2 linked regions of the Rattus norvegicus genome follow. The protein of the gene in region 2 purifies or fractionates together with the protein of the main gene of each other region. This does not show direct contact. Links are inferred from orthologs where the notes say so. Each region holds a gene or a part of one and is shown on either strand. Other genes may lie near its edges.

What was found. The genes of interacting proteins can lie anywhere in the genome.
Region 1: the proteins of Mak (region 2) and Katnip purify together in Homo sapiens (affinity purification with mass spectrometry; 3 studies listed by BioGRID and IntAct, with this or other methods). This does not show direct contact. The link is inferred for Rattus norvegicus from reciprocal best matches to the Homo sapiens genes MAK and KATNIP.

The regions. Positions count from the first base shown.
Region 1 is NC_086019.1:189,863,401-189,868,599, reverse strand, and holds the end of Katnip (katanin-interacting protein), read right to left. Parts: coding exon 5,076-5,199; intron 3,736-5,075; coding exon 3,634-3,735; intron 3,265-3,633; coding exon 3,104-3,264; intron 3,021-3,103; coding exon 2,932-3,020; intron 2,516-2,931; coding exon 2,457-2,515; 3' UTR 1,198-2,456; downstream 1-1,197. UniProt on the Homo sapiens protein: May influence the stability of microtubules (MT), possibly through interaction with the MT-severing katanin complex.
Region 2 is NC_086035.1:23,909,149-23,914,994, reverse strand, and holds part of Mak (serine/threonine-protein kinase MAK), read right to left. Parts: intron 5,754-5,846; coding exon 5,674-5,753; intron 3,947-5,673; coding exon 3,814-3,946; intron 1,679-3,813; coding exon 1,507-1,678; intron 1,194-1,506; coding exon 1,026-1,193; intron 1-1,025. UniProt on the Homo sapiens protein: Essential for the regulation of ciliary length and required for the long-term survival of photoreceptors. Phosphorylates FZR1 in a cell cycle-dependent manner. Plays a role in the transcriptional coactivation of AR.

The sequences.
Region 1 (5,199 bases), on a different chromosome or scaffold from region 2:
CTTCCCTTGCTTGGTAGAGAGCAAGTTGGGTGGAGTCTCAGAATTGGTAGAAAAGAGAGCCTACTACAAAAGACAGGGGTAAGCATGGAGTGTAGGGTGGGGCATGGCTTTGTCCCATCAACGGCTGTGAGAAGCTTTTGGAGCAATCAACTGTGGCTGAACACGGAAGAGGGGCAGGCCAGAGGGTGGCTTATTGCCCTGGCAGTCTCCATTAATGTCACACAGTTCCAAGATCCCTGCATCATGCTCTTAAGAGTCTCCCTAGAAGACTTAGCTGAATGTCTCTTGGAGGGATGCCTGTGAAGTCCAAGGTCTGGATGCTGGGGCAACTCCAGAAGCTGCTGTGCAGTCTGGGTAGGGAAGCCTGGGTCGGAGCCCAGACTCCATTGGGGTAACACCACCGGGGGAGCTCAGGAGAGGGGGACTTGGGTTGGGCATGGAGGATGGTGCACCTGTGCTACAACTCAGGTCAGCCAGCCGTAGAAGCACTGCACAACATGCAGTGTGCTGGGAGGAGGGCAGCCACAGCAAATGAGGCCTGTGTCCATCACCCACAGGCCCGTTTACCTGGAGGAGGGTATATGCTGGCTACTATTGACACTGTTGCTCTTATAATGAAACAAGCAGCCAAGAGCTGCCCTTCTGCTGTGAGCCGACCAGTTTCCAGGGAGGCCTGCAGACCGCATGTGCATGGTGTTAGGAACGTGCAACGTCTGTGATCTGGGACACAGCCTTGGCACTAGTGGGCATGCAGCCTTGTACAAACTCTCTGGCCTGTGGCAGGTCCTCAAGGCTGGGGCCTCCCGGCAAACACTGTTGCCACAGCCTTGCTCCTTCCCTTCGCATGTGCTCCTTGCCTTGACCTCCTGGCTGTTAAGGACATGAAATCCATCAGAACAAAGGGGCCATGGGGGCATCTAGAGAGTACCACCCTAGGACATTTCTACTGCCAGCCTCACTCACACCCAGTCACTTCATATGTGACATGGATTAAATGGTTTTCCGGTGTCTGTTTTCATGGTGGCAGGCGGATTCCTTGGAGAAAGAGAGTCCAATGCCTCGTCCCCACCTGCGGGCAGTGCAGGCTCAGCTCAGAGGGGCCTGAATGTTCAGCAAGCCTCAGGCCCCCCAGCCCTGGCTTAGGGCTGGAGACAACAAGGACCTCCTCTGGCTGACAACATCCAGTGCACCACACTCTATTCTTAATAACATCTTTTATTGATTTTGTAAGAAAAAATAAACATTTGTTTGACAGTTAATGCTTGTGCCAGCGCCTTCCCTCTGAGAGTGCATGGAATACACACTTATAAACACCCACCAAGTATCTGGAGGGAGCACGCCAAGGTCAGTCTTAGGTGTTCCAGAAAAATCTACCTGAGCCCACCCCAAGGAGTAGAAGCTGGATTCCTGTTAAAGGAGTGGCCCTGATTCGCCTAGAGTTGGTTTGATGGCTCTCCTGGGAGTAAGTGGAGGAGCCAGGGGGTGGGGGTGGGGAGGCCCTGGAGGCTACAGAGATGATGGATTCTCATCAGAGAAGCAATCCTATCTGCTTGTCAGCTGGATCTGAATTAAAACATCTGTACAGCTGCTGGGTGTTGCTGCTTAAAAGGGTTTGTGATTCTTGGTAGTATCAGAATGTACTGAGTTCGGCACCATGGCACCGCCCCACTGGGCCCCGAGCCAGGAAAATAACAGATTAATATTTGGAAGCAGAAATTACCCACTACTGGGAGACTGATTAGGTCCCTGATCTGAGCTTGTTCCATAGATGTACACACAGGTATGGGGCTCTGGGCTGCAGGGAGAAGAAGCAGGGCTGAGCCTAGGCCCTCCCAACTCTGACTTGCAGGTAGAGGGTGTGTGTGTGCACGCGCGCGTGTGTTGTGATAGGAGGAGATGTAGGGGCTAAGGGCAGGTTTCAGCACTCGCTACAGCTCACTTCCTCTCCTCAGCAGGACACATGTCCTTGACCCATCCTGAATCAGGCTTGAACAGAGGACTAGCCCCATCAGGTCTCCAGAGGCACTGGATAGAGGAGCTGCAGCACAGTGGCCTCTTAGCAGCTGTTGCCCTTAGTGAGGAGGGCTGTGTAGTGGAGGAGGGGCACAGGCTCCATGGTCTTGGTACTGAGTTCTGGGCCTGGGTCAGGGGCTGCCTAGGACTCGGGTGCCAGAGGCCCTGCTCTTATGAACCTCACAGGAGAGGCACAGAGAGGAACCAAGTGTTCCTGGCTCCCAGCAGCCAGCCCTGTGTCGCAGGGAGCAGCTATCCTGTTCTTGACCCTTTCGCCTGACTCCTATGGCTCCTGGGGCTGTGATTCAAGTCCCTTGTCCCTCCATGCTCTTCCAGCCCGAGGGGTCCCAGCTGGCCAGCCCTGAAGTCTGAGGGACACCGGTGCTGTTTGGGGCTGGTGATGGAGCCTAGCCAGCCCGAAGAGGCTCTCCCTCCTGCTCCAGTCAGCACCGCCAACGCCTTGAGCTCTCCTTCTCACGTATGCAGGTTTTGGGACGTAAGGCTGTGGAAACAGGGCACAGGAGGTGTGAGTTACACTGCCCTTGAGAACAACTATATACCTGGCTGGCCATTCAGATAGGTGGAGACCTGGCTAGGCCTAAGTTCTGGGCACCCTGCCTAACCTATCCCATGCATGGAATGGACTCTATCATGCCATCCTCAGGGCCTTTGCCTATATTATCAGATGTCTTTTAGGACTCAGCTCAAATGCCACCTGCCCCATGGAGCCTTCCACTTGGTTTTCTTTCCTGTTTCCCCACAGTGTACCTTCTCTCTTGACCACAGGGAAGCTACTCTGGGACAAGAGTGAAGGGGAAGACGTTTTAGGTGGGCAGGGCAAGGCCAGTGTACTTGACTTCCTCTCCATATAGACCAAGCCTCTGACAGGCATGCCCAGGGCAGAGGCATGCCACCCACCTGGGTCAGCAGTGGCTGGCTTCCTGCGAGAGGTGGTGATGACCTGGTTTTCATTCATCATTTGTATGTCCTGGTCTTCCTCAGGCTTACTGCAGAAGGGGAGACAGAAGGCGCATCAGGCCCCAGACCACGTCCCGCCATCCATCTTCATTAGGGCTGGTGAGGGGCATACCTGATGATGGTGTGTTTCTCCTGGTGACAGAGGTCAGTGTCCTCGGCAAAAAGGATGGTGTGGTGGGGCACGGTAGGCTCACATGTGGGTAGGATGCCCCCAACCACGTGGCTCACCATGGCAAGAATGCCATTGTACACCAGCAAGTCATCCACCAGCAGCTAAGAGACAGAGTAGGAGTGAGGCCCAGGCACCCTCCCACATTTACCCCAACCCTAGCAATGCAACCCAAGCCCAAGGATCTCCCCCACACTGGCAGGGAGGGCATGTGTTGTCAGCTTGGGCTGCAGATTTGGAAGTTGAGGCTGGGGGATGTTCTCAGCACTGGGTGACCAAATGTAGAGATGAGGCAGACTCAGTCTCTATCCCCCACGGCTTTGGATCATTTCCAGGCCATTTCCCTGCTCTCAGGACCAGGTACTTCCAAGGTTATAACTGGGGATCGAGACTAAACTGCACCAAATGATAACTGCCCCAGCCTAATTTCCAGCAAGCACAAGGATCTCCCACACCAGCTAGTGGAGACTCACGCCAAACTCCTTCACCCCTCGCTGAGGTGTTTTCGTGTAATTCCACAGTTTGATCATAGACACAGTGGTGGGCAGATCGAAAATGACATACACTCGGTTCACCTGTCAGAGAGCAAAGCTAATTGAAGCAGCTGTGTTTGGAAGCAGAGCTTCGGGCAGGGCCCAGACACCAGGGCAGGGAGCTGGGCCCCACTCTTCACGTGGGAGCCTGGCGGTCTGTTGCTTCTCTTCTCCTCAGAGCCCATTTTGAGTCAAGTCACGTGTAGTTGCGTTTGGAATAAACTGCTGAGCTGGCTCTGGAAGGGCCTTCGGCCTCCTGCTGCTGTGGCTCTCATTTAAATACTGGCAGAGAATTGAGGGCAGCCCTGCCTTCTGTTCATCGGGTCAAGCCCAGGGACAGTTTCCACCTGCAGAGGCCAGGAGCTTCTCGCCACCAAACAATGTGCATGGTGCTGACCCATTTGTCCTTTCCCAGGGTTTCTTCCAACCCATGCCTGCTGGGGAATTATTCAGTGACTAGCACCCAGCCCCAGATTAGCAGCAGGCTCCACATCACAAAGGGGCCACTTGGAAGGCCAAATAAAGAACTAAGTGTGAATGAGCCCGGCCTGCAGCATGCAGTGGCCTGCAAACAGCGATGGCTGTGTGGAATCCTTCTGCTCAGACCCTTAGATTCCCACTAGGAGTATGGCAGCAGCCAGAGGAGAGCAGTGAACTCTGTTTTAGGCTGGAGTCTAAGGGACACAGGGCTGGTGTAACCCTTTGTAACAGAGGATGGGGCTGAGGAGTTGGCCCTGTGGTCTTTGGGAGTTGTTCTCTCTTTTAAGTGGAAAATGTCCATTTTATTATACACAGTTACATGAGCAGGAAAGAATCCCACCATGTTCTGAAAATAGGTTCTGGCTCTGAGGTGGAGGTGCTGATGGCCTACACCCTCTCCTGGACCTCCCTCCCTCCTCTCTGGGACGATGGATCAGGCCCGCTGCAGGGTTTAAGAGCTGGAAAAGGCAATCAGCGTAAGAATGGATGACATGACCAACTGGAGCTATAGGGAGGGCAAGGTGGCCACACTGTGGCCGTGGGTAGTCATGTAAGGAGCAGAGACAGGCAAAGGAGAGGAGGCATGTGGACGATGCCAGGGTAGAGTGGGCTGAAGGGGGCTTTGACAAAGAGAGGCAGCAGATGCACATGAGGCCAGTGGTCTCTGTCCTCCAGCACCTGTAGAGAGACTCCTGACTTCAGGGTTCCTGGAGCTCCTCACACATCTGGTGTCTGGTGCCTTTTTGGGCAAAGTTTTTAGAGTGAGACAAGGGACTATAGGCCTGGAAGGGCTACACCCACAGCTGTTAGCCACAGCTGCCCCTCTCTGATGGCTCTCAAATGTTTCAGCTGTCACTGGGCCAAGGGCAGGCACCTATCCAACCCCAAGGCCAGATACCTACCAAGCCAGGCAGGATGGGAGCCAACCACATGTGCCTGCCATCACTGGTGTCGTTGACTTGGTCGATAAGCTTGTCAGGGGTTCTCACATCCCCACATACACCCTCTAGTGCATTCACACTGTCT
Region 2 (5,846 bases):
CTCCCCAAACCCTGCTCTCTACTTACTGTTTGTGTTCAAATACGCCTGCATTAATCTTTCTCTCTTTTTATTTTTATTTTTTGTAGCTGGTCTTTTTTGTAGTTGTTGTTTGTTTGTGAGTCTTTTTTGTTGTTGTTTATTTGGTTTTGGTTTTTTAAGATAGTGTTTCTCTGTGTAGCCTTGCCTGTCCTGGAATTCTCTCTATAAACCAGGCTGGCCTCAAACTCACAAATATCCAGCAGCTTCTGCCTCCCAAGTGCTGGGACTAAAGGTGTGTAACACCACTGCCTGGCTTGTAGCTGGTCTTTAGAAAACACATACACTATTTTTTTTTAAAATGAGGGGGTTAAGTTTTACATGGGATTTACATTAAATTTAAATAATACAATTATCATCATTGTGTGTTTGTTAAGCCTCTGGCAAACAAAGGGATAGCATTTTAAAGACCACAAAGTGCCACAATGCTACCCTCTTGTGGGAGTCAGAGGATAAACTCTTTTACTGCAGTCTCAAGTTCCTGATTCTTGTTCCAATGAATAAGAATCTTAGCCCTCCACCAAAGAGGCCCACTGTGTGCCACCCAGACCAAGCATGTGCTGGACTTGAGGACTTGTCCTTAGTGGTTACTTCCTCTCTAGCTCGTTAGGGTCACATGACACCACCATGCAGTGACTCTGTTTGCCCAGCTCCCGCTTGTGTACAGAGGGTGTCCTGGGTTTTAGTACTTACTGATCTTAGAAAACATTGATTGAGAATCGATGTCTTTGTAAAATTGCAAGACTTTAAAAATTAGAGGTTGGAGAAATGGTTCAGTGGTTAAGGGTACTGTCTGTTCTTGTAGAAGACCCGGGTTTGGTTCCCGGGCCCTGCAGTGTGGCTCAACAAGACCTACAGTTCCAGTCTGGGGGATCCAATGGCATCTAATGGCCTCTTGGGTTCCTGTACACACGTGGTGCACATCCATACTTAGACACACACATCTGCACATGAAATAAAAAAGCTGTCCCCAGGGAGTGCTGCCTTACCTGGCTTGCAGTTGGCCGTTTCTTTGGATCCCAGTTAAGCATTTCTGTCATAAGCTGAATAGCCTCACTACTGGCATTGGGAATGAGAGTTTTCAGGTTTATAGGAATGCACTGGGGAAAGCGGAAGTTCATGGAGGATGCCAGCTGGTACCCCTCCGGCCAGTCACTCTGTTAAAGGAGATACACAGAGAAAGTCCACTTGAATCTGGTGGGACGCTGACTTCTTGCGATCTTTATTGTTCCCCAATAAAAGCGTTATGTTTGTAAGAAAACCATTAAAGTATAAAGGGATTTGAAACTGAAAATATCATACATCTCTGCTAAAGTAAGAAATAAAAACCAGAAAAAGCAAAATAAAAATAAATAATAATAATAAATTAATGATTTATAATTATAATTAATACTAATAATAAATAAATAAATAATAATAAAAGTGAGGGACACTAAAGAGGCCAGGCCACTAGGGGACCAGGGTACTTACTTTCTTGGGAGTCCCTAACACTTGGCAAATTTTAAAGATCTCATCAACTTCACTGGTCCCTGGGAAAAGCGGTCTAAACGTATATAGCTCGGCCATTATACTTCCCACGGCCCACACGTCAATGGGAGAGCTGTACACTGAAGACCTTAGCAAAACTTCAGGAGCACGGTACCTGTGAAAACAGAGAACAGTACAGAAAACGCTCTTTCGGGTGTGACATCACAGGGCAATGGACAGCAGGAGCCAACTGTTGGCTCCCAGCTTCCAAGCAAGACCTAGGACAAAGCACCTTCTGTGTACCAGGGACTCTGGGTGAGACATCTATTTTCTGACCACAGTTAGTGGGGCTGGCTAGAAATGTGAGAAAATGTCCATGTGGCTTGAGGTAGGTCTTCACAGGGATAATCGGGAAGGTAAGTAGCCTCTAAATATCCAGAAAGAACCGTGGATAAAACCATCAGGTGTGAATGTATCCACTTGAGGTTAGGAGAGGAAAGATGGATGGATTGCCCTTGAGTAGGGAGTCTCTGCCCACCCCCCCTTTTACAAATCACATTGAAAATCTTCATGCTAGTATTACACTTCCTCATATAGATGATACTATTTTTAATTTATAAGAGGCAAGTAGCAAGCCCCTGCATCGCCCCCTGCCCCCATTCCTCGCTGATCTACGAAACAGTTGTCTTCCTGAGTCTGGAGTATGCCACTTAACATGATGAACTTCAGCTCAATCCATCCTCCGAAACATGACACAATTACATTCTCTCTCTGTGTGTGTGTGTGTGTGCGTGCATTTCTGAGACAGGGTTTCTCTGTGTAGCCCTGGCTGCCCTGGAACTCACTCTGTAGACCAGGCTGGCCTCATGTACATATAGTTTTTTCCACATTCACTAACTTTTCAAATGTCTACACTGCCTGGGACAGGGATGTGTTCTGGTCTGCACTATGCCAGCAATCAAGGCCACTTGAGCTAGACAGCAGTGCCATGACATATTTTGTTTGTTCTTGAAGACTGTCATTGGGATATTTCCTTCAGAAGACTTGTGTTCCTAATTTCAAGGCTACTGTTACAAAGCAGCATACCTTGAGGTGACACACGCCCTTGATCCCAGCACTCAGGAGGCAGAGGCAGGCGGATCTCTGAGTTTGTGGCCAGCCTGGTCTACATAGTGAGTTCCAGGACAGGATAGTCAGGGCTACACAGAGAAACTCTGTATCTATATCTATATCTGTATCTATATCTATATTTTTTCTTTCCCTCCTTACTGACCCCAACTTCCCCTCTCTTGTCCATATATTATTTTGTTTATAATAAGGTATCACCACAACATGTATGTACACACTTGATTTTACAAATACACATACAGGAAAATGCACTTAAGCCCATAACTTGCTAAATTTTCCACAAATAGGACATGTTCACAGGTCTAACAACCAGATCAAATGCATGCTACAGGAGCCCTAAAGGCTCATTCCACACTATTGTGGCGTAAACCCACAGCTCTTTCCCTAGTCTTGCGCTTTATGAAATGACTGTAATCGGTAGAAGGTCTTTTCCTGTGTGGCCTCCTACTCTCTGTGTTACCTCTGAAATGTTCTGTGTGCTGTTTGTCATGGTAGACTGTCCCTTCCTCCTGCTGAATAGCCTTCCTTTGGGTGGAATGCCTTAAGGGTAATTGGGGTTGTGACATTGATTTTGGTAATTTATACCATTTAACCGATTTGTGTTTTGGCTTTCACCAGACAGAGACTTCTGCTTTGTTCCTGGCCTTGTGTTCCTAATGCCTATGGTAATGTTTAGCACATAGTAGTTATTCAGTGTTATTGGAAGTGTCTTAGTCAGGGCTTTACTGCTGTGAACAGACACCATGATCAAGGCAGTTCTTAAAGGACATTTCATTGGGGCTGGCTTACAGGTTCAGAGGTTCAGTCCACTATCATCAAGGTGGGAGCGTGGCAGCATCCAGGCAGGGATGGTGCAGCAGGAGCTGAGAGTTCTACATCTTCATCTGAAGGCTGCTAGAGGGAGACTGACTTCCAGTCTTAAAGCCCACACCCACAGTGACACACCCATTCCAACACCTCCAAATAGTGCCACACCCTGGGCCAAGCATATTCAAACCTTACAAAGGCTGAGTGAACTATTTTTTTCCCTTCTTTTGTTTCATTAGTGGAAGAGCCACAAGCCAATTCTTTCCTCTCTGCAAAGAACATAAAATGTCTACATTTTGTTTTAAATACCCAATATGGACCCTCTGGAAAGCTAATTAACAGTTCAACATAGGAAAACTTTACTATAAATGTTACCATCTGGTAGACACATAGTCAGTATATGGTGGCTGTGATCTTAATTCTCTCGCAAGTCCAAAATCAGCAATCTTCACCAGCTCTGGACCCATGCAAAGCAAATTCTCAGGTTTCATGTCCCTGTGAAAAAAGCCTGTGCAAGCAAGAGAGGAAAACACTAAATAGTCCTGTTTATTATCATCATGTGACTCATTGCTTTATATAAATATATACATATAAATATAACCAAGACCTCCTATCAGCAGCACAGGGTTGGGGAGGAAACATTTTCCTAGGAAGAAGTAAAGGGGTGTGAGAATTTGCTTGCAGAAGAATTTAGGAGAAGGTTCACATGACATGTAAGGTCACTAAAAATAACTTCCCATTTTTAATTTTTGACTGCCATGGGTGCATACGAGGGATGGATACTGACACTGTGACTAACCCCTAGTATTTCTACATGCTTATGGAATTTGGTGTGTTGTTATCACTACTGTGTAACAGATAGAAAGAGATGCGGAGAGAAGCTTGGTTTCCGTCAATGTGGTTGGTCTCCTTACTGCTGTTATGCCACACCTTAACACGAGAGTCCCTGAGGTTAGTCTCAGATTTGAAAAGTTCATTGGACTTCCAAAAGAGCTCCACACATTTGAACTAATCTCCTGGCTTATTTAACAGTTCACTTTCTCCTGGTGGCTAAGTCTTTGAAAAACCCAATGATGAAAATGCTCATTATTACTGACTCTCTATTAAATAAATGGTCAGTGACAGAGGCTAATGATTCTTCCTGAAGTGGACTCAGGTGCTGGGTTCTGAAGACCGCACCAGGGAGAACTATGGTTAGTTGGTACCAACGGTCTTCTGTGGAGGTTTGAGACCCAGCCCTCTTGGTGTCGACATTTCTAACTATTGCCTACCTAGGTTCCAAGTGCACACAACGCTATGACACAAACTTACAAACCTTTCCCGCTAAATACTGGAATAGCCAGCAATTCTAACCAGACATTCAATAACACCAAATGTTTTAGATGTCCGAGATAATGATTATCTTCACTCGGTGATATGCAAAATCACATAAAGTAAAGGAGTAAGAGAGTCATAGGAAATACACAGCAGCTTCCATTCCACTCAGACAATAGGTGTGACTAAATGCAGACGCTAAGGACACTATAAAAACCACACATAGGCACCATGCAGTATTTAAATCCCCGTGAGCAGCCATGCTTGGTCAAAGAAGACTTCTAATCCTTTCTGAAATAAGCTTGGAGGAAAATCTGTCATTGAGAGAACAGAAAGGGCAAACCTGGGCCAGAGAGCATCCCCTGCACAGACCAAAAAAACGAATGAACAAACAAACCCCCATAGCACCTTCTGTCCAAACAGAACAGCGGAATGCCGCAGAAACACAAAACCAGCCATAACCTGAAATCACACTGCTGCCCTCTTTACGCAGTGAGAAACTGCCAGCAACACTCGGGGTTCCTCCAAGATGGGCTGCCCTGCAGCCTGGCACCATTACCCCATGCCTGCTGCTCTCTGTGCAGTGTATCAAATAAAGCTGGTTATTTTCAACTTATCCTAGAAAGAGAATTCATTTCCTAACCTGCAAAAACCCTCACAAGATACTTTTGGTTTTTGTTTTTTTCTTTTCATTAATGTTTCTCTAGTTGAGTTAGTGGAGAGGTGTGAGGCAGGAGACTAGTGAGCAAACTTGTAAAATGTCTGTTATAGATAATAGATATCGATGTACAATTATAAAAAATTACGATGTGTAGAGGACAAAGTCAGACACAGCTCAGCAGAAGACACATTATTGCTATGTGTGGTCCTGATGTTACCCTGTGTGCACAGACAGGAAAATAAGACTACGAAGAAACTCACCATGTTTGTGGATAAATGCCAGCCCCTGTAGTATTTGATACATAATATTTCTGATGACTGACTCAGGGAACAGTTTGTTTCTGGAAGAAATGAATAGTTTATTAACCAACCAGCGACCAGGAAGGCCAATGATCTCCCTGTTGTTCTGTGGCCTCCTCTACTGGCCAAAAGTA